Rhinolophus ferrumequinum: one gene and its partner. The protein of the gene in region 2 interacts with the protein of the main gene of each other region in a biochemical or structural test. Links are inferred from orthologs where the notes say so. Each region holds a gene or a part of one and is shown on either strand. Other genes may lie near its edges.

Region 1 (11,641 bases), on a different chromosome or scaffold from region 2:
TTTCAAGGATTCCAGAGAATCTTTTCATATCTCCATTTCTGGAAAGTGAAATCTGGAAAGTGAAACCAGTATAGAAGTAATTTGGGAACTTGAAAATGGCATTCATTTTTTTCAGCAGATGCCAAATTTTTGACCGACATGGCTCCCACAATTACTTTGTTACCATCAGTCCAGTCAGTTAACAGGTTGTAGGAAAAGATTCGTTTTTGCAGACACTGCTAAGCTGTTTAAAGAGAAGAGAGAGAGATTAATTTAGTGATTATAAAATGCACAAATATTTAAAATATTTTGAACACTTTTTGTCGGCTTATAGGACAAATGTGTGACTATATTTTAACAAACGTGGACATTTTCGTTAAGTCTGGTCAAGGAAGTGCAGAAACAGTTAAGTCAATATGATAGAAATAGTAGGTCAATATGATGTGTTAGTTCAATTAATGTATGAATTGCTGTCACCATCAGAAGACATTAAAAAGCTATAATCTTTAGTTCTGTAACATTTTGCCATAGTGGCTAAATTAGGGGAAAAAAAGGTTCCCCAAATACTAAATTGTTTTTTTCCATTACAGTAAATAAAGCCAAACCGTAAATTTCAAAACACTCCATATTATATTCCAGAAATCTCCTTTATGCAACTATCCACCAGAACACAATTTTTTAAAAATAGTAAGACAACAGTTTCATATTAATCATAACTTTTTTAATTAACAAGTAGTGAATAGGACACTTTTAAGATATTCTACTACATACTGAAATAAACAGATCTATTGTAAATTCAGAAACTCAAACATTTACAGTAAAATGTGCTTACACATAAATGTGACCAAATTTATTTAAAGCCCCTGTTAGATAGGTCCTAAATACATGCAATACCATGTAAAAACAAGACCATGAAGTTGATGTAAAAAAATGACAAAATCACTGAGTCACCAAAATTAGGAAAAAAAAAGAAAATGAAATGGAAACTAAGAAGAGACAGTTAAAACATAAGGAACCTAACAAAGCAGCTTTAAAATAGGTGATACTAATCTCCATTTTCAAAAGTTCTTAATCAAGTATTTCCAAAAACTGCCATTTATAAAATGACATTCTAAAAATCTACACTTGGAATTTCAAAGCAGCCCAATTCAGAAAGCTTTGACTACTGTTTCTCCCCAGCCCCAAACTTCAAATAATGCAGGAAAAGCATTGCCATTAGGAAGAAAATATGCCAAGGAACAGTATAATTTTTAGAAAAACGCACTTACTGCTTCCAGAACCTTTTAAGACCCACAGTCAGCATTAACAACAATTATTTTTCCTATTTTCATCCATTATTTTCCAATGTCATGATAGAGATGAATAAATTCTTTGAGCCCATAACTGAAAGATCAACAAACCTGGTTTTATTATGACACCGTATTTTTGTCATTGGTACTGCACAAAATTATATACAAAGAAATATATACAAAATGTTCAAGTATTAATTAAATTTCAATTCAAGGCTTCTGTTTCAAAAAGCTACATTTAACATATTCCATAAAGATAGCACAAATTAGTCATTTCAAATAATTTTTCCAACTACTTTTGGTTTATATATATAATTCAGTAGGCACTAAAACTCCATGCAGCTGCATTGTGAGGGGCTTGCTCCTGCACTTAGGTATAAGCAGGTTCATCACTCCAGGTTGTGAGTTTGGCTACTACCCATTCATGCTCAAGTGCAATAGAAGATTTTACAAAATATGCTGTGATGCACTGGAAACCAGAGACCAAGTTAGATCTCAAATCGTATTATCTAGCAACAAAACATTTACAGTTGTGCAAGAACAAGGATTCCATTTTCATAACCAAATAACAACAAAATAAAACATTTTATGTGTAAGATAACTTACATCTTTGGACTGCTGGAAAATACTTTTTAATTATGAACATTTTAAAATAAAAGACAGCAGAAGCCCTGATATTACCTCTTTTTCCTCATTTCTTATACTACCTTTTAAAATAAAGCAGGAAATGTGGCCAGCAGCTGGTCCCGTCTCTTCTGCCCCAACAGCTGTATCCACTTTAGCACAAAGAAAAACAAGGATGCTAAATACGTATATACTTTATCAAACAGTGATGTTTCACAAAGAATTTCTTATTGTCTCTTACACTGAAGGACACCGTAACTCTATTTATACAACTGGACAATAGATAACAGAATACTGCAAAAGAATATGTCCCATCTTTGGGAAAAGTGTCAATCGTGTCATTAGTAGCCAGAACAACTCAATTTGTAAAATTATTTTTAAATAATTTTAAATAGGACAAATATATTTGAAATAAGATTCTTTGTGAAGCCTCACTTTACATGTTTTCATTCATATTTCACAACCTTCAAAATCTTACATAAAGTTAACCTAAAATTTTAATACAACAAAAATAAAGGTGTTCAACAATTTATTCATACTCAGTGATAGGGTAATCACTGTGCTGGTTCTCAAAGAAACATTTCATTAACCATTCTGATTCCTCCTCCTATTAACTAATACAGGAGTCTGATATGCATGTTAATTTCCAAATTTTTTCTAATGATGAGATATCTGTTAATCTGAATATTGTATTTCTAGATCTACTGAAAACTAAAAGGCATTCTTGAATATTTAGGAGATTTCTGTCATCTCCAGCAAAATAACTATCACATTGGTGCATGCCCCAAACACTTATTGTCAACCTCTGAAAAGTTGCTCTAAAATTGGAATTCCAATTTGCACCTGGTACAACTCGGAACTTCCATTCAACTTCACCTGTTTCACTGTCTCCAAACTGTATTTCTATTAGCAGCTTTCAGTGTACAGTTGGAATCGATGTCATCCAAGGCCATGTCCACACTGGGGACAGAAGAGCTAGGTACACGCAAGTCTGAACAAGGGGACACATTAACAGCTATTTCAACCAGAAGAAGCATCTTAAATACATTATTTGACCAGCACAAGTCTGTTTCCAGGGTGGACAGGGCCCAAATCAGATTCCCCTCCCGCCTTCCAAAAAAGAAAACAAAAAAATATCTCCACACACACACAAATTGAGATGTTGCCCATTAAAGTAGACTAAGCAGCAGAGCATGAGCGTTACGTGAAGAGATGGATCCTTACCAGGTTGTGAGGCGGGAACGACTGTTCTGTAACCCCTACAACGGAGCCTGGCAGGAAGGAAATCACCTAAAAAAGAAACTGTCAGAGAGATTTAATAGTCACATGTTATCATTAGGAGTTGGTTACAGTGTCACATTCATGCTTTTAGCTAAACACTTAAAGATTCAATATTACTTTTTTCCTCCTCTGAAATGTGTCCAGTGAAGATGTCCCACTAAGGTGTTTTACATGGTGTAAGGGAGTTGAAAGGGGTAAACGCGGATAAAGAGCAGATTACTTGACCCTACATTTTAAGAGAAGACGACGCCTTCCGGGCGCACGCCGAGCAGAACTCCACCGACACCTTATCCTTGTCCACATGAAGACACACTCCTCCCGCCGCGTCGTCCTCTTCCAGCAGGTCCTGCTGCTGCTTTCCCACCGGCAGAGCGTAGTCGTGGTCCCCGGCGGGCGAGTCTCTGAAGAGCGAGGTGGTCAGCCGCAGTCCCACGCCGCTCAGCCGGCTCAGCAAGCGAGCCAGTCCGGTCTCGTTGGCTAAGACGGCGCGTAGGTAGCGACTCTCCTCCTGCAGTGCTTGCACGCGCTTGCCCAGCTCCCGATTCTCGGCCCGCAGCTCCTGGTTCTCGGCTGCCAGGCCCCGGACGCGACTCTCCAGCCCCATCACGTACTCCTTCTTCTTCAGCCGATTAAGACGCGCAGCGGCCGCCGCCGCCTTCCGGGGACTCTTTGTCGCCGCCTGGTTGTTGTCGTTGCCGCTGCTGCCGCCGCCTCCTCCTGGGGACTTCCTCCGCCTCTTTTCGCCGCTACCACTGTCACTGCCGCTGCTGCAGCCTCCGATACCGTTTAATAGCCTCTGCAGCAGGTCAGAAAAGCGCTGCATCTCCGCAGCCGCGGACTCGTCGTCGTCGTCCCCTCTCCAAAGGCCGCCGCTATCCGAACCTCCGCCGGACGAGGAGAGAGGCCCGGGCGAGCTGAGCCCGGGTTCCAGGTGCCAGTCCGGTTGCCGGGGGTCCAGCAGATCCGCCAGTTCCAGCCCGGACAGAAAGTCCATGTCCTCCGTCTCTTCCCCGGGGACGCTGGCGATCGCCTCCTCCTCCATCTCCTCCGGCGAGGGCGCGCGCACGACCACGCCGCCGCGGCCCCCCCTACCGTCCTCCAACTCGCCCTCGTCGCCGCGCAGCTGCTCACGGCCGGGAGATCTGGCTACCGCCGTCTCTTCCTCCTCTGCCGTCGCTGCCGCCCGGGACAAGTCCGGGGGCAGCGAGCAGGTGGCGGCTTGCGCCGGGCTCTCGCTCCGTGTTGGGGAGTCGCTGCCCGAGGCCGCCAGCAGTTTGGTCAGGCTGTGCCTCATGGGGCCCAGCGGCGGGCCCACGTAGGCCCCGGCCTCTTAGACCGGGCCTCGCGGGCCCCAAGGACCCCAGGACCCAGCGCGGGTAGCCCGTGAGCCGGCCAGAACGAAATGACGAGGAAGGTCCGGGTTGCCTCCTGCCCCTCTCGGCTGGTCGACCCCCCGCGCACAGGCGCGGGGGAAGGATGGGAGATCGAGGCCGCGAGGCCCGGCGATGACTCGACCGCGCCACCCAGACAACGGCCTGGCCGGAAGTCGGTCGGTCTCGCCCCAGCCCCTCCCACGGCCTTTCGCGCTCCACCAGGCTCTAGTATCGCGAGAGTTCAGGGAATGCTGGAGTGGGAGTAATTCCAGCTCTCCAGTGATGTCATAGTAACAGCGGCAAAAATAACAACAAAACCACGGGTTTCTTAAAAAAGTGGTCTGCCCTCTTTGCCCTCACTTCTCAACTCTATTCTGGCTTCCACTTCCAGTGAAACCGCTCTCGCTCAGAATTGATCTTTTAGATACCAAATTTGTGAATAATCTTCATCATCCTGGATTCCTCTGGAATTTAAGACTGGTGATCAGAGCTCCCTCTTGAAATTGCTCCTTTCCCTTCCCGTCATAATACAAAATCTTTTCATTTCAGTACTTCTAGAGTACTAGAAGAAATAGAGGTAAATAAGTAAATCATTCATATATAATTTAATTTTTCCAAGATTTTCTTATAAAAACTTCCCAATACACAGAATATGTGAAAGGATAGTACAATAGCCACTCAAATTTAACAATACTACCCCAATACTGAGAGTCAACAATTCAACAATTAACATTTTGCCATTTGCTTTACCTGCATATAAATGTAAAATAATTACTAATTTTGCTGAATTATCCCGAAGTTGCAGACAAAACATACCACCCCAACATACTTCAGTATATATCTCTAAAAATAAAGACATTCTCTTTCACAATCATACTACTATTATCAGGTCTTGCGAAAATGAACAATTATTTGCTAATATCTATTACTCAGGCCCTATTCAAATTTCCTCAGCTTTCCTCAGAATAATCTTTTATAGAGAATGTTTTATTTTGAGCCAGGGTCCAGTCAAGGGTCACTTAACTGCATTTGGTTGTTGTTATTGTGGATTTTCACACCATTTCTCAAAGTACATTAGTCCCTTCCACTTTCTACTTTTTCTTAGTATTGGCTTTTTGAAGATACCAGTTTGGTTGTTTTGAAAAATGCACCACATTCTAGATTTGTCTGTTTCCTCATGATGTTGTTTATCTTAATCTCACAAGGTATTTGAGATTTGAAGCCATTCACAAATACATTAGAAACAAAACAATTCAAATTTTAAAAAAGTAAGGCCAATGAAAATATAGATGAAATAGAAAGATAAGGAGTTCCCAAAGAGAAAGGTTAGTATTGGAATAGCATGAACATGATATTTTATACAGTTACTCAAATTGAGCTAACAATAGACTAAGCTTCCTGTTAGCCCAAATAAAAAAAGGAAACAAACTTTGTTTGCTCATAAGTACATATCATAAGCAGCATATTAATCCCTTAACCACTTTCCAGTTCTTAGGTCTTAAAGAAACTTCTCAGTAGGATACTCAATAAAGTAGCCTATAGCTTCAACAATAACTACTTTTGTATGGCTGTTCCTTAGAGAGATACAAAGCAGGTTCAAAGAAAGCTGCATGCTGATTGGTCCCAAATATTAGAACAGTACAAAGCACAGCTTATGCTTCAATAAATATTTGTTGAATAAATGAATGAAGAAGTTCCCCAGTTTTGGCTGAAAGCATAATGCTACAATTCAACTAATGAAAATAATTCTGCAGGGGGCAAAATAAGTATGACCTATGGTATCTAGAAGAATAAATAAAGGGCCTCCATGTCCTTTTAACCTTCCTACTAGAAAAGGTTTTGCTAAAGTAGAACACAGAACAGTTCTAGGTGATATATGCTCTGGACTGCCCATCCAACTACATTTTCTCTTTAGGCAAATTCGAAATCAGGGTTTGATTTGTTTTATTTTTTCCAAATTACAACAGTTTGGTTTAAATATACATGGCTTGAGAGCCTCTCCAGTTGGACTAAGAGAAAAGTGGAAAACTGCAAGAGAAGGAAGTTTTTACAATCTAGCCTCAGAAGATAAAAAGCAAATGAAACAAGAGTAAAACTCCCAGAAAATTGTCTCCCCTTCATCATTCCTCCCTTTTCTTTTCCTTATTTTTCTCACTCTCTCCTTCTTCACAACTGTTTTGTTTTTCTTTTTCTAGTTATAAGGATCATTGCAAAAAAATCAAAAATGTGTAAAAATGTAGATGGATCTTCCCCTCCACATGCTTATTTTTTATGACTGTCTAGAATTCCATTTCATGAACTGGGCAAATTTTATTCAATTAGTTCCTCATTGATAGCACTTAGGTTATATTGAAATTTTCACTGTTATAAACCACATGATAATGTTGTACAATCATCTTGGTTCACTTATCCTATAACCCTTAGGATAAACTCTTTGAAGTAGAATTTCTATAAATACAATTTTTATAAATAGACCTTTATTACCTATGGAAAGATATTTCTCACCAATGGTGTATGACAGTATTTAATTCTTACACACTCAACGACAGTGGACGTGTTCTTTTTAAAATGTGCCACTCCAAAAATAAAACGTGGCATCTTTTTGTGTGAATTTCCATTTCTCTGATTATTAGAGAGTTGAATGTTTTTCATATGACCAATTGATTTCTAATGTGAACAGCCTTTTCACATCCTTAGCTCATTTTTTCTTAGAGATGGGAGAAAATGTTTGTCAGGGAAAATGTTTGTCTTTTTCCTTCTTGATTTATAAGAATTCTTTACATTATAAAGAAAATATACCTTTGTCTCTTACATGTGTTCCAATTTTCCCCCAGGTGATCAAATACCAGGGGAGGGAAGGGGTGAAATTGCTTGTTTTGCTATCATTTTAAAATAATCTATTAAAATTTTCTTCATGGTTTCTAGCTGTGATGTTAAGCCAAAAAAGGCTTTATTAGCCTAAATAATACTAATATTTACCTATGTGTTTTAGAACTTCTTTAATTACTTATGTTTATATTACTAAGAGTTTTTTTAACAACACGAGACATAGTTTATTTCATTTAGATTCAAATGGAATTCATTCTGGTACAAAATGTAACAGGAATATAATTTTTCAAAAAGTGATCTGCCACAATAAAATTTATTGAACAATTCACACTTGCCCCACTTATTTCCCAACATGTGTGCCATATATCAAATTCTTACATGTAATTGGATCTATTTCTGGTCTTTTTCTTTTATTTCATTTGACAGTCTCACCATTCTGGAAGTAAAATCACTCCATTTTTATTGTAGTTTTATAATATATTTAATATCTCATAAGACAAGTCCTTTGTTAGTCTTACTATCTCAGAATTGTCTATCTATACACGAATATTTCTTCTTCTGGATAATGTCATAATATTTTCCAAGTTCAAAGAAAACAACCTGGAATTTTCATGGAAATCACATTACATTTATTAATTGATTTTTCCCAGTTATGTATGTATTTTTTGCTATTGGACTGGATTATTTCTTCTTTTATGTTTTCTAAATGGTTATTGTTGCTACATAGGAAAACTACTGATTTTTTTGTTAAATTTTTAACTGACTACCCCACTGACCTTTCTTAATAATTTTCATTTTCAGCTTATTCATTCAAATTTTCCAGGTACACAATTATATCACCTTATTATATATAATGAAAATGTTACCTCCTTTGCAATACGATAATGAAATAGCATTTCCAGATTAATGTTAAATAATCCTCTTGATAGCCAACTTCCTTGTTTATTCCTTACTTTTACAGGAATGCCTCTAATGTCTAGCTATTGATTTGAGATGGGTATTTTTATTAGATTAAGCTCAAATTGCAGGAAACAGATACCAATCCAGCTATTTTAAACAGAGAGAGATGTAACAGAATGCGGGCTCACACAGTCATTGGAAGGACCGGAGGAGTGAACATTAGGCTGGGCGATCAAGAATGCGTCTCAGTACAGTGTGGCCAAACAGGCCTGTTTAGGAACAGTTGTCTCTGCCCCAGTTGAGAAAGTGAGAAGTAGAAAGTGGGAATGTTGGCTTCAAGAGTACTGCTGCCGCCTAAATTCTCAACCCCATGTATTAATTATCTATTGCTGCCTAACAAGTTACCCCAAACCTAAAAACAATCATAGAACAACAATAAATATTTGCTTATATGTGGCTTAAAACAACAATAAACATTTATTATCGCTCACAGTTTCTGTGGACGGAAATTTGTAAAAACCTTGGCTATGCAGTCTGGCTCCAGAATTCTCATGGGATTTAGTCAGATATTGTCTGGGGCTGCAGTCATCTGAGGGCTTGACTTGGGCTAGAGAGTCCACTTCCAAGGTGGCTGACAGGCTGGTCCTCAGGGAAGCCTAGTTTCCCCTCCATATGGGCCTCTCCACTGGCTATATGAGTGTCTGTGCTATGTAGTGGTTGGCTTCCCCCAGAGTGAATGATCCAAGAGACCAAGGAAGTAGTAGCAACGTCTTTTATGACCTAGCCTCAGAAGTCACATATGATCACTTCTGTAAGTATTCTATTGCTCACACGAGTCAGATCTTATTCACTGTGGAAGGGTACTACATAAGAATGTGAATACTATGACAGTATGTTGTTTTAGACCCCTGAAACTAATTTTAAAAAGAAAAAAAAAGGAATCATTAGGCACTATCCTGGGGGCTGGTTATCATATCCCATAAAACTAGTGAATGAACATTGGGATGTTGTTGCGGAAAAGCCCAATGTCTCCAAAAATGTCCTTGGCAGCAACAACAGCCAAAGCAAAGAAAAAGGGCCCCTCCCTGCCTCATTTGCATCTTCCAAATATAACTACAGAGGAGTCTGCAAATATAGTTTGCTTTGTGTTTCTTTGTTTTAGCTTTTCCATTTCTGCAATACAGTAAAGCACATTAAAAGCACATTAAAAGAGGGATTAAAATAGATGATGAGTACCAATGTATCAAATTCTCCACAAAGACCATGACTTTATGCACCAACTATAGCACCAACACATACGGGGTCTGACAATGAAGTTCACGAACCCATCCTAGAAAAAGTGCTACATACCTCATTGCTGAATATCACTATGGTCTCCTAGAAGTACTCCCCTTGGGAAGCTATGCATTGATGCCAGCGCCTAGTCCACCCTTCAAAGCAATTTTGGAACTCTTGTTCTGGAATGGCCATCAGAGCTGTCATTGTATTACCCTTGATGTCCTGAATGTCTTCCAAATGTCTTCCTTTCAATATTCCCTTTATCTTTGGGTAAAGAAAGAAATCATTGGGGGCCAGATCTGGTGAGTAGGGAGGGTGTTCCAATACAGTGATTTGTTTACTGGCTAAAAACTCCCTCATAGACAGTGTCGCATGAGCTGGTGCATTTTCGTGATGCAAGAGTCATGAGTTGTTGGTGAAAAGTTCAGGTCATCTAACTTTTTCATGCAGCCTTTCAGCACTTCCAAATAGTAAACTTGGTTAACTGTCTAGTTGGTACAAATTCATAAAGAATAATCCCTCTGATATCAAAAAAGGTTAGCAACATTGTTGTAACAAGTTCACAAACTTAATTGTCAGACCTCCTACATTTATTGGATTTTTTTATAGCAGAGAATTGGAGCAGAAATGGTAGAGAATGAAGCTGAATTGGGGTTGGTGCTGTGTTGAATGGATACAGCAGAAGAATAAGAGTGCTATTGAGGACAGAGTGCTCATTTTAATATAGTTTGCCTCTTCACTCATGAAATATAATCTGTAAAGAGTAGGAAGTAAAATCATGAGAGGATCTTGTGACTGGATGAAAATTGAAGACTCAAGAGGTTGACAGTGTCTAGGATACTACAGGATTATGTTTGCAAGCCGTACATATTTGCAAGGATTATGCTCAATTCCCAGTGTGCTAGTTGTATTTCCGTTCCTTTGTCCTCTTCTAAGGAAAGCATTTTTGAGTGCAAGTGAATGAGAGCTACACTAGTGTGTACTTATCTGGAATCTGGTTTATTTTACTTTTAAATGACCAACATTTGTAACCAACTGAAATAGTAACAATTTACTAGTATGCCTTAACTAATCAAGCCCCACAGTGGCTGCCACTGAAGTTGAGAATTGCTGCTTTGATAGGGGAAGGGACAGCGGGTGTAGAAGTTTGGGTGTTAGAGATATGGGAAGGTAGGAGCAGAACTTTTCATGTTCTGAGAGGAAGGAGGAGTCCACGTCGCCTGTGAAAGTTGTCTCATCTCTCACGGCAGCCACCCCAGAACCAGAAACTGGCAGAGCTGCTCTTGCTTCCCATTGCCAATTTCAAAGCATTTTCTCTTCCTCCCTCCTTCAGAAACCTCAGCCCTTTTAATTTTCGTTTTTTAAAAATTGAAAATTTACACGCACACATAAAAGTAGAAGAAAGAGTCTACTGAAGCCCTATATATTCTTCATCCAGATTTAAGAATTTTATCAAGATTTGCCATACTTGCTTCATCCCTTGCCTTCTATTGATGAATTATTTTAAAGTAAAAATCCTAGACATCATGTCATTTTATCCCTACACAGGTCAGTGTGTACAATTTTACCTATAAGGGCATTTTTTCCTATGACCACAATGTCAGGATTGCTACTAATAAAATGATTATGGATTTCTTGGTATCATTTCAATTGTCTCAAAAATTTCTATCTACAGATGGCTTGATTGAATTGGGATCTATATGATTCTATACATTTCATTGGGTTCTTACGTCTCTTAAATCTCTTTTAATCTAGGACAGCATCTCTCTGCCCCTTTTCCCCAATGCCATTTGATTTTCTGAAGAAGCGAGGTCAGTTGTCCTGTTGAATGTCCCTTATTCTAGATTTGTCTGTTTGCTCTCTTGTGGTGCCATTTTACCATTTCCACTAGCTCCATGTTTCCTATAAGCAGGAAATTAGTTCTTAGGGCTTAGTTTAAGGTTCAACATGGTTGGCCATAATACTTCTTAAAAGGCACTGTTCTTCATGTTACATCGGGGGCACATAATGAGCACATAAAACAGCACATAAAATGTACTGGTTTTAGTCATGCTAAGATTGATTGATGTTTTCAAATGGTGGCAGTCC
Region 2 (11,091 bases):
TTGCCTCCCAGGAGGGCCTCCCTAAATGCCCACCTTTAGGAGCAAATTCTTACGCCCAGCACCCCGCATGCCCGTTCCCAGTCATCCCACATCAGACGTCTTTTTTATTGCCTGCCTCTCTTGCCAGAATGAGGGCAGAGGTTTTATGTTTTCCTCAGCCACTGAATCCCTAGCACCCAAAACAGTGTCTGGCACACAGTGGGTGCTCATGAATAGCTGTAGAGAAACATGAAGGCCATTCCTGAGCTCTAGGACCTGCAGCCTTGTTCCAGGGACGAAACAGGCACGAAACGCCACCAGCCTCTGGGCTCAGACAGCAGAGGGCTTGGCACCGAACCACAAACACCCCACATGCTAAGCATGGCCTGTCTGTCCAGACCACTGTCATTACCTGTACCAGCTGCCCCTGGGCCAGCGTCCAGCCCCCGGCTTCAGTTAAAAGGGTAGAATCGTAGGATCCTCCTCCCAGCTCCTAATGAGGATTATAAGCTAATAATTGGAAAACTCAGAGCTGGTCCTCAGCACTCAGCAAATATTAGCCGTAATTATTTGTGGAGAATTGGTATCTTGAGAAAGCGTCCCCATTTGTAGTGATCTGTAACACGTTAGCTCCCACGCTTGCTTTCTCTGAACCCCCAGCTTTAAGGCCAGTGTCCAGGGCCCCCTCCAAACCTGCCTGGAAGTTCTGAAGCTACATTGATTGAAAGTGTGCATCCTGGACTCAGACTGCCTGGGACTGAATCCACTACCTGCTAGCTGGGCAATTCTCCAAAACTGTTTTCCTCATTTATAAAATGGGGATGAGCTTTATAAAATGTATTTAGCATAGAACTTTGTTTTCATAGTATCAATGCATGTAGCCAAACTGACACTTTTTTAAACTAGTAAATCCTCGTGCATTTCACTGGTAGCAGTTAAGCTGCTTAGGTGGGGTGATCAGGGTGTTTTAATACCTTAGATGGGTGGCTTCCCTGCGCTCTGTAATTCTACACTTGGGGAAGAAAAAACCTCAAAGATCACCAGACGCAATGGGGCCCATGTGTGACAACCACTCCCTCTTGTGCCTGGGGCAATGTTCCCAGCGAGTCACCACTGGCTGTATTTTTCCAACAGTGAGCTGACTCGTGTCACTCTATGCTAGACGTTGGGGAGCAGCTCAGGGAAATGTGGGCCATCCCTGGGATCCAACAGTGCTTTCACCACTCTGCTCAATACCTTTCTCCGTGTACCGTTCCTGTAGGACCCGATGGGATTATGGAACCTGCTTCACAGGGGTCGTGGGGACTGGGTGAGAATGCACATGAAGTGCTTACAACGTGCGAGGCACAAATGTCACCCTCTATCCAGCCACTCTGTGGGAATCTAGGTTGCCTTTTAGAGATGGGAAACAAGACTAGCCCTTCCAAAGAGCTGGTCCCAAAGGACCCAAGAGGCGACCTGCCCAGGATGAACCCAAGACAGGAAATATCTGCCTTATCCTGAGACTGGAGGAAGTCATCGTCACGTGGAAGACCTCGGGTTGCAACAAGCAGCTTCCCAACGCCTAGGGATGGAAAGTCCAGCTGGCTGAGGTGGGCAGGGGAGCCTGGCTATCTGCCAGCCCTTGGGCCCAGCTCTGCCAGGAACTAAGCAAACTGCAGGCGTCTCCCCCAGCTTATGGTTTGTTCTAACAAAAACCAACAGTTTTTGTCTTAATGGGTTTGGGAAGTGGCCTCTACAGAACAGTAAAAGCTTTTAAGTGAAATCCAATCACTTGTACGCTAAGCTCAAGGACTGCGGGACCTTATCTGGGTATTTAATGACAGATGTTGGCACAAAGCTAACAGGTGGAGCCCAGGCTGTTCCTGCCACACCAGTTCCCCTCAAGTGAAACTTCCCTACCTTGCAGTCACCAAAGAGCTATTGTAAGATCTAGCAATTCTGTTCTGGAAAAAACACCCAGGTACCTGCTCAGCTGTGGGGGATCTGGCCCAACCCCTCTGGCTCAAGGTCCAATGTAAGACCAGTGACCCTAACCTATGGCACAACAGGGTATGAAACATTTCATCCTGGGCTCAAATATTCAGCACATTGAAATCCCGCCCTCCACCGTGGGTCAAGAATCTAGTTCCAGGAGGATTGACCAGATTATTTACAAGGCAAGACACCAGACAGCAGTTTGCCAAGTACTTTCACTACAAAATAATTTATTACAACACACAGCTTCAGGCAAGCTTCCTATGTACAAGCACAGACTACCCTAACTAGGGGACCCTTTTCTTTCCCCTTGCCTTGCGGACCTCCTCTATCAAATCTTTCAGATACTGGATCTCCTTGGCCAAGGAATCTGCCCTCTCCTTCAGAGCCTCATTCTTCTTTTCTAGCTCTTTACACTCGCCAGTGAGGGCCTCCTGCTCTGCTCTCTTCTTCTGGCGGTACCTAGTGGCTGCTGTCTTGTTCTGCTCCATTTTTTTCAGTTTCTTATCCAGCTTCTCACTCTTTACTTTTGCTGCCACTGTCTTCTCTCCAGGTGGGTCATAGGGTTTGGGGCGGGCAGAGCCACCACAGCTGGCACCTGGAGACAGCAGGCTCTTATTTGGAGAGGCCCTGGAGGTAGTGGGGCTATGCTGGGGAGAGCCCAGATAGGACTCAGGGCTCATACAAACGCCACTATCATTGTCTGAGGTGGCATCCTCCTCCTTTATGCACTGAGGGATCACGGAAATGTAAACAGTGGAGTCTGACTTTCTATCTCCTTCAGAGATATCGACTTCACTGCCTAGCTCTAAACTAAAGGAATGATCTGGAGTGGAGGACAGGGCCCCTGGTGAAAGAGGAAGAGGTTGCAGGAAGGTGAATGGGGCAACCTGGTCAGTTTCTGGTAAGCTTTCTGAAAGATGGCCAATTGGGTTTGTTATTTGGGGGGGCTCCTTATTAGTCTCCTGGACTAGGGGGTCAAAAAGATCACACGTGTCATCCAACGTGGCCAAAAGCTCATCGTGCATGGTTTCCAGGTCATCAAAACTCAATAGGGCATCAAAGTCAAACTCCTTCAGATCCATTTTCTCCACCATCCAATCTGTCCCGGAGAAGGCATCCTCTGCGAGAGATGTAAGAGGGATGAAACATTCAGCCAAATGCACAAGGCAGCAAGCCCCGCTGCCCAGACCCCCCCAGGCAAAGGACACCCACTCACCCTTGCCGTTGTCTGAGGCACTGACCAAGCCATCTACAGCCAGCCATTCGGAGGAGCCCGCCTTAGCCTTGTCACTGGAGAATCCACGAGGTTTGAAGTGCTTGGCCACCTCCAGGTAGTCGTCTAATAGACCTAGACTTTCTTCAGCCCCCAAACCCGACTGGTCGAAGGGGGACACGAAGCCCCCCACGAACACCTCGCTGCTCAGGAAACTCATCTCGGTCATGCTGCGGGGTTTTGCTGGAATCGAGGAATGTGTGTAATTCGAGGATGTCTTTGTCCGTTACAGCAACGCTGCTGCTGGGTGCCGTGAAAAACCTGAATAGGAAACCAAGTCCTATTAGCGAACAGCCGGTCTGAGAATTTCATCTTTTCACTCCTGAGGCAGGATGGCCAAACCGGAATTCTCCTTGGTTGTCCGGGATCGGCAACACGTGGCCCCAGAGCCATTAATGTCGACCTTGCCCGTTCCCCGGTCAGGCGACACAAGATGGACGCCCTTGCAGCTCGGCCGTTCCTCAGCCACAAGAGGAAGGCGCCGCATCCTTACGTCCAAATACGGCTGCAGCCGCCCTGCCCCGCCCGCCGTGACTCACACGGCCCGGCCGCCGCCCTGCCCCGCCGCCATCTTGGCCCCTGCCACGTTTCGCTGGGCACCAGGCGGAACCCTGGCGGCTTCCGAGGCCGCCGCGCGCCTCTTCCCCCCCGCGCCGGGCCGCGCTTTCCTGACTCAGGCGTGCTGGCGTCTCGGAGACACCCAAACAAAAGCCACGCGTCGCGGGCGCTCATAAAACCGCTTCCCCCTCCGCGACGCGGCCCGGCCGCGCCCAAGCAGGCCGGCCCCTCGCTCCACCATGGGCGCACGGCCAGCGCGCTCGGCCCGGTACTTACGCCATGGCTTAAGCCGCTGGGGGATGCCGCTGCAGAGCCTGGTGCTGCTGCCGCCGCTGCAAAGGCCAATGCTGCCGCAGGCACGGCTGCCTCTAATGCGCCATGGTGGCCGCGGGTCCGCGGGAGCAGAGGAGGGAAGCAGCACAGACCGGGAGCTAAGTGGACATCTGTAGGCGGGAGGAGAAATGGCCGCCGCGCCCCGGCCGCGGGTCCTTTATAGATTTTTGCCTCTACGAGGACGCCTCACACAGCAAATTCTTCCGCCGTGGTCACGTCACCGGCACCACCCACCCACTTCTTTTCATCTATCCGACGCCCTACCGTTTCCAACCAACAACTTTTGCGCCCAGGGTGCAGCTCTGAAGAGAAAGTGGGTTATTTTCAAGGTCTCAAAAAAGGAAAGACGCACTACTTTACACAGCTTCTAAGATCAAAGAGTCACTGTTCCCTCTGCGGCGGGGGAGCGCGGAGGGATCCACCAGACACGCCTGCCTTCCGGTGTTGGCTGAGGGGCGGGGAGAGAAGCCTTTCATCCCAAGGAAGGTTTTTATTGTGAAGTCGGAGCCCGCCTGGTTATCGCGCGAGATGCCGGCGCAGAGGGCGCTCGAGCTGATTGGTCAGGTATGGTGAGTCATATGTTTCTCGTGTTTTTATTGGCTCAGGCGCTGAGGAGGGTGGGCTGTTCGGTGAGATTGCCCAGGGTCCGCGCGGGAAGAGGTGGGTTCGGCTTGATGCGTATCCCTCCCGTGGTCTCCTGTCTGTCTGCCCCCTCTTCTCCGTGATGCTCCTCTGTCTGCAGTGGCTTCGGCAGCCTGGCTGGTAGCTGGCCATGACGGGTTCTAACCCAGTGCCATGGGGGTGTCAGGCCCCAGCTTCTTGCCGCCCTCAGTGAAGCCCCGAACTACTGACCAGGTTGAGTCCGGAGGATGAAACCAGGCAAAAGGAAATGTCATTTTGTGTGCGATTTCATCATATGCAAGCCCTTCAGTGGCTGAAGGGGAAGTCTGAGGACCTCAAGGGAAAGATCATCTGATCCATGCCCGCCTATCAGAAAAGGCTCGCTCTGCATCGTTACTCTGAACTCTGTAGGGCCGGGAAGATGCTTAATCCTGTAGGCCAACCTGTTACATTTTTACATATCCATTCTCCTAAATGTTTGCTAGTTTATTAAAAGTATGCAGTCATATCACAGGGGAACGTCTTTTGGTTTATGAAGTTCAGTTTCTCTAAGAACAGGTAGAGATTTTATTCAACTGGGATCTCTCACTCGAGGGTCGTTTCAACAAACTTCCAATTCTGTAACTCCCAGGCATGGCCACTTCCCAGCAAGTCCTCCGAATGACCCTGTGATGAAGAGAACCCACGCCCACTCGGGGTTCCTGTGTTTGGAAGCGGCAGTCCGTGTAAGGGGGCCAGCAACTTGCTCTCTGCTGGGGAGATGTTAGAGTGCTCTCTCTGCCCTCTTCCAGTCCCCTCCAGTCAGGCACCGTAGGGAGAGAAACCTTGAGTTTCTGCCTCCATTCATTTCAGTGGCCATACAAATACATTTCTGTGAGGGCTGTGATGTCAAAACATTTGGTGAGCATTGTCCTAGACAACTACACACCATTCATTGACTTCTTTCATCTAGCTTAGCAATTTCTTTACAATGGCAAACTGAGGACAAATGGGGAGGAGGTGTCTTGCCAGAGCTCCCAGTGAAGGCAGCATGGGGTAGGAGTCAGAAGATAGATTTTAGGGGCAAACCCAAGAGTCCTGGCTCTTCCATTTATTAGCTGAGACATTTTGGTTAAGTGACTTATCCTCACTGAGCCTGTTTCCTCATCTGGAAGATGAGGCTGATGGGTAGTATCCTTATCCTTAGAATGAAGTCAAATCATGTATGTGTAAAGCACTGAGCAAAGTGCCTGGTACTTGATTTAAGTGCTCAGTATACAATTACTATTAGAACTCGGGACTTCTGACCCCGCCCTCCCGATACTCCCTCCCCATCGCCATTACATCGTCCTGCATCCTCAGAGGACACCTATTATTTACTGAGAAGAAACCATAACTAAACAACTGGTACATGCAAAGCATACTGGATGCTGGGACAAGTGTGATTTTTCTTTCCCGTTGGAGAATCGCCAAGTGTCAGGATACACAGAACTTGTCCAGTCTTTCAGCGCAAAGGCAGTAAGAAGTCCTAAGCCACTGCATAAGTCCTCCAAAGGCATAACTAAGGACCCACGGGGCATGGCCTCCTTCTACTGTACGTCACTGCCTCCTGAGGGATGACCAGGCAAGTAGTTGAGAATTAAAGAAGTAACACTGCCCCAGTTTTGATGCTCCAGAGGTCATGGAAGAATGACTCTTATGGCAGCTCGTCCCATCCATTCTATTATGGACACCTAGATCAAGCACTTCAAAAGTTCTAGCTGAAATGAAGAACCTGTACCACTCCTGTAGGAAAACGTTTCATACCACACACAAAAGTCAAAGCTGTTGGAAAGGAGGCTTTTATTTTCTTCTTCCCATGCTGTGGAAGGACATCAGGTTCCCCAGCTTCATTTCCTCCCTCAATAGAAAAAGGACAGCAGTTCTCTGGGTCTCAGGGCTAAGCTGCTTCTATGGAGCTAACCAAGATAGGACAGAAAGCCTGCTGACTGATTCCAAACCTACCAGCCAAACATATCAACTGCTACTGAATGGCAAGCAAGTGACTAGAGGGCAAGTTGTGGACTTGGCCTCAGGGACTAGGAATTTAAAGACTAAAAGGTAAGTGACTAGAGGGCAAGTTGTGGACTTGGCCTCAGGGACTAGGAATTTAAAGCCCAAAAGGTAATCAAAATGAAAAGGTCAACACCACACTGTACGCAGTTAACCCCAGAACCCACGTCTCTGGTATTTTGGCCACTTAGAATCAGCAGTGTCTAACAGGGATACAGCCTCACAGCTCTTGTCCTAAGTGTCTCTTACCATTCTTTTTGGCCTTGAGCTTTAGCAGGAAGGCGAGAGTGCTAACAAATCCTGTGAGAGCAGACATTCTCAGCCAGGGTCATCATCTCAAGGAAGATGTACCAGGGCAGAGGACTCTGGACACATGCAGGAACCCCTACTTACAGAAACGCCTCGGGACCTCTCTGGGGGCCTTTTGATCCTGAAAGTGATTCCTCATCAAAACCATTTCCGCTCTCAGCCTGAGTGGGGTACAAGGGAGCAAACTCAGCTAATCGGGAGGGTGAACCAGTGGACTACTAGGGGCCGAGACCCAGGGGAAAGACTATGGCCTCAACACAGCTTTTCCAAACATGAGCTTCAATTATTTTATTTGGGGGAAGAAAAAAGAAAAGTCACAACCAAGTATACAAAAATACTGTTGTCCTGAACTCAATTTTTAGGAAGAGGCAACAGGGAGAACCAAAATACACTTTGGAACTGATTAGTTTTTCAAGATGATGAGTGTATTTTTTAAGCATTAGCTAAGTGGTTTGCTAACCTAGATGGTGCAAAAAAAAATGTCCAGATGGAAAAGTAGGACCAGATGCTATTACTTCCAGAAAGGTGCGAGTTACTGAGTAGAAAGGCAGAATGGCGGGGAAAGGCACGACATCTTTCCCCAAAGACGGGGGCAGGGCGGGGGGTGGAGGTGGGCAGAATGTTGCCCTCTTCCATCCAAGAATCTCAAAGCACTTGACTGTTTTCCGTATTTTCCAATCAGGCCTGCCCCGTCGGTCAGCAAAACCACCAGGACCAGGGCCAGGAATTCCCACTGCTTCTAGTTCTGCAGACTTCTAAAAGGTTCTTGCTTGTGACATGGCAAAGTTATGGTTTTTGGTTTTGTGAGACATAGTTAAGAGACAGAGATGCCCTTAGAAAGATGTTCTTTAAGAGGAGATAAACTCAAATCACGATTACACTTAGCTTTGAGAATTTGGGACTTGCTCTTTAAAAAGTCTTTTCCTTTTTGAGGTCTCCAATGTTTTATATGGAATTTGGTTGGAGACACCAGCTTGGGAAAATTGTAGGTTTTATAATACACTAGGAAAACCAACCCTTCCTGTCAGTGAAGAATAACCCATGCTTTTCCAACACCTTCTCAGCCTGCCCGTCCCTCCCCTCTACTGATGTCATGCCAGGCTCCACCCCGTCCGTACCCTCTACACCACTCACCCAGGGCAGCACTCAGTCATATAGATTTTTTTAAAATTCTAGTTTGATTCTGATGAACAGCCAGGGTGGAGAATCTTTCTCAGGGTTCTGGGCTTTGTATTTTTCATTCTCTCAATACCTTCCTACAAGTGAAACAACTGAAGCACTTTAAGAAATCCTTGCATACACAGAAGAGGCAGGAAGACTCTCCTAATATAGCCAAGGTTGACCCTAGTTCTCAGCTTCCTAAGCCATGACAAAAGGGGACAGGCATCTCTACCCTAAATTCCTAGACAGTAGCTGAGGTTTCAGTGCTATTTAAAGAGTTATTTCATGTCGCTGTCATTGGGAAGGAATGAGATAGCTGCAGAGCTTCACCAGAATCTCACTGATGGAGAGGTAGTAAGAATAGAAAAAATAAGACTTGATGGGAGGAGAATAAAATACTGGATGGGCAGATCGGAAACAGAATTATCATCAGGCTCTTGCCACAAACAAAAAAAAACCACCACAAAACGAGAAGATGCACTGGCATTGTGTATTAAACACTCCTCCCCACCTTCAGGATACTTTTTACATTGCAATAAATAGTGCAATTTTAGCAGCAGGAAACAAGAAGGAACGGAGGAAGTCCCCACCGCCCTCTCATGTTTTCTCCACGTGCTTGCTTCCTGGGTAGCACCGGTCTCCCCAGCTGCTGGGTGATGGGGTGGGGGGAGGGTCCTGCACATGTTTGCTTGCCCTTGACCTCTGGAGGTGCCCAGAGAGTTCAGCCAACAGCCCTCTCCCACTCCTATGGCAGACTGCTGGGCCTGTTCTTGCTCTAAGGGCACATTCTAGAAAGACAGGGCCTGACAGGGGAGAAACATGGTCACTGAGCCACAACTGGTGACTGGATTTTCCAGGCCACATTCAGCCGCCTGTCAGCCTCCCTTTAACCTGGACCGCAAGGGTGTGTCCTTGAAGGCCTCGTCTTAACTGGCAGTCAGGCAAGGAAGCGGGTGAACGAGAACGCTTGTGCAGAGGTGCTGCCCTTGCAGGCCCTTCCCTCCCTCGTGACTCCTGCACCCCGTGGCGTTGGCCTGGACCAGCCACGGATGGGGCGTAGAGCTCAGGCACACTGACACTCTCCCAGGTCCCCATGGCCACGTCCGCTTCCCCCACCCGGCACTCGGCACTCTCACTGATGGCCGCTAAGAAACACAATCTCTCCATCACGTTGCACCCAGTTCAGCGTGAGCCCTCAGTCCTGTGTGGGTCAATACCAGTGTTCCCATGGAAGGCCTTCTGAGCACTTGGTCAGGTGATGGGGGGATGGGCTTCTTTTCCAGGAACCTGGGGCAAAGGCCAGCTCTTCCACTTTCGCCCCAGAAACCCTAAATACTGTCTGAGTGCTCTGTGCCGAGTTCAGCCTGGACACAGGCAATCACAACTTCAGTGACATTTCAACTAAAAGGCAACATCTTGATTAGGCAGGTGTGCTCCAGAGAAAGGAGCAAAACAGAAGGCGTGAACAAGAGGGAAAGACAGAGAAGACACCGAGAGGAACAGGCCAAAAGGCAAGGCAGGGCAGACATGAGCAGAACCATGGGCCGCCTGCAAAACACCAAGTGGTCTCGACAGCTCAGGCTACTGCTCCACCTTTCAATTCATTCCAGAAAAGTCAGCCTGGAGCAGGGGCAGGGGAGGAGTAAGGAGCACAGTGTTTGGTAACAAAAATAGAAAGGGTTGGGTTTCAGAAAATAGGAGATTAAGAGATGTCATTCTAATCAGCATGAAGTGACCAGGGCGGTGACCAGCAAGATAGGAGGCACCGAGCGACCCAGCGAGGCACCAACTACGTAGCCAAGTGTTTCTAACGCAGAAGCCAGGGCCTGACCGCCCAACCCCAACTCTGGCCATCACCTGCCCTACGTCTGCAGCAGCACCTCCGGCTCAGACAACGAGCAATAGAGAGTGTACCCTAACTCGTCGATTTCCTCAGGGGTGAGCTCTGCAAATAAGTTCACCTTGGGGTTGAGGGCACTGGGCAGGACTCCGGCCTCCAGGTACCGGATGAGTCCCCTCAAGGCCTGCAGGAAGCGGTCAGCCAGCATATCTGAAGACCAGTCAGCCTCCTCCTGGGCCAAGTGGAGGATGACGTTGGTGAGCTGGCTGGCAGTGAGGTGGCCCAGAGCCGGAGTGGACTTGCATATGGCCTTGAGGATCTTGAGGCAAAGAGAACGGCAGCCTGAGTCGGCCTGGTCCAAGGCCCGCAGGCGGGCCGTCTCGGCAGGACGCAGGCTCAGCCGCCACAGGTTGTCATACTGGGCTAGCCGGTGTGGTCTGGCCACCAAGACAGTGTCACCGAGCGTCACTGATGGCAGGAAGTCAATGACGAGGTGTCTGTCACGCTCATACTGCACTTCTAGAGTCAGGGCCTCTGGGAGTGGCGCCGGTCGGATCACATAGTCCAAGAGGGACCCTATGGCCGGCCAATTGATGGAGCCAGCCACTACCTTCTCAAACGTGTCTGCCACTGTCTTTGGGGAGAGGTAGCCCCCTACTACACAGCGGTCCCAGTAACTACTACCACGAGGAAAATACTCTGGGTTCTCACGACGAACCAGGAAGAAGCCAGGGACATTCATGATGGTGTCCTCGCCAGGGATACATGACCACAGGTTCTGCTCCAGCACAAGGGGCACAATGAGTTGGATGTGGTCGGCTGTCACCACCTGTCAGGGCAAATGACAAAGGCTTTGAGGGATTTCATCTGCTTAAGAGACAAGCTGCCCCAAACACAGGTCCCACCACCTTGTATTCCCCCAACCATAAAAGAAAGTAAGAGTTCTTTCCTGTCACTGTATTGCCTCAGCTAGAGTGAGGATTTAAAGCCAGGGCTGTCGGACACC

The links.
Region 1: the proteins of ATF4 (region 2) and CREBZF form a complex in vitro, tested with the Homo sapiens proteins (2 studies listed by IntAct, with this or other methods). The link is inferred for Rhinolophus ferrumequinum from reciprocal best matches to the Homo sapiens genes ATF4 and CREBZF.

What each region holds. Positions count from the first base shown.
Region 1 is NC_046294.1:58,630,439-58,642,079, forward strand, and holds the start of CREBZF (CREB/ATF bZIP transcription factor), read right to left. Parts: upstream 4,741-11,641; 5' UTR 4,468-4,740; coding exon 3,404-4,467; coding exon of another isoform or gene 3,400-3,403; exon of another isoform or gene 3,195-3,399; coding exon 3,179-3,194; 3' UTR 3,117-3,178; intron 2,045-3,116; 3' UTR 1,976-2,044; exon of another isoform or gene 1,364-1,975; intron 1,363-1,363; 3' UTR 1-1,362.
Region 2 is NC_046293.1:7,977,818-7,988,908, forward strand, and holds ATF4 (cyclic AMP-dependent transcription factor ATF-4), read right to left. Parts: upstream 4,260-11,091; 5' UTR 4,067-4,259; intron 3,494-4,066; 5' UTR 3,402-3,493; coding exon 3,176-3,401; intron 3,080-3,175; coding exon 2,244-3,079; 3' UTR 2,167-2,243; downstream 1-2,166. Other genes in the region: MIEF1 (mitochondrial dynamics protein MID51), read right to left, coding at 10,108-10,914. UniProt on the Homo sapiens protein: Transcription factor that binds the cAMP response element (CRE) (consensus: 5'-GTGACGT[AC][AG]-3') and displays two biological functions, as regulator of metabolic and redox processes under normal cellular conditions, and as master transcription factor during integrated stress response (ISR).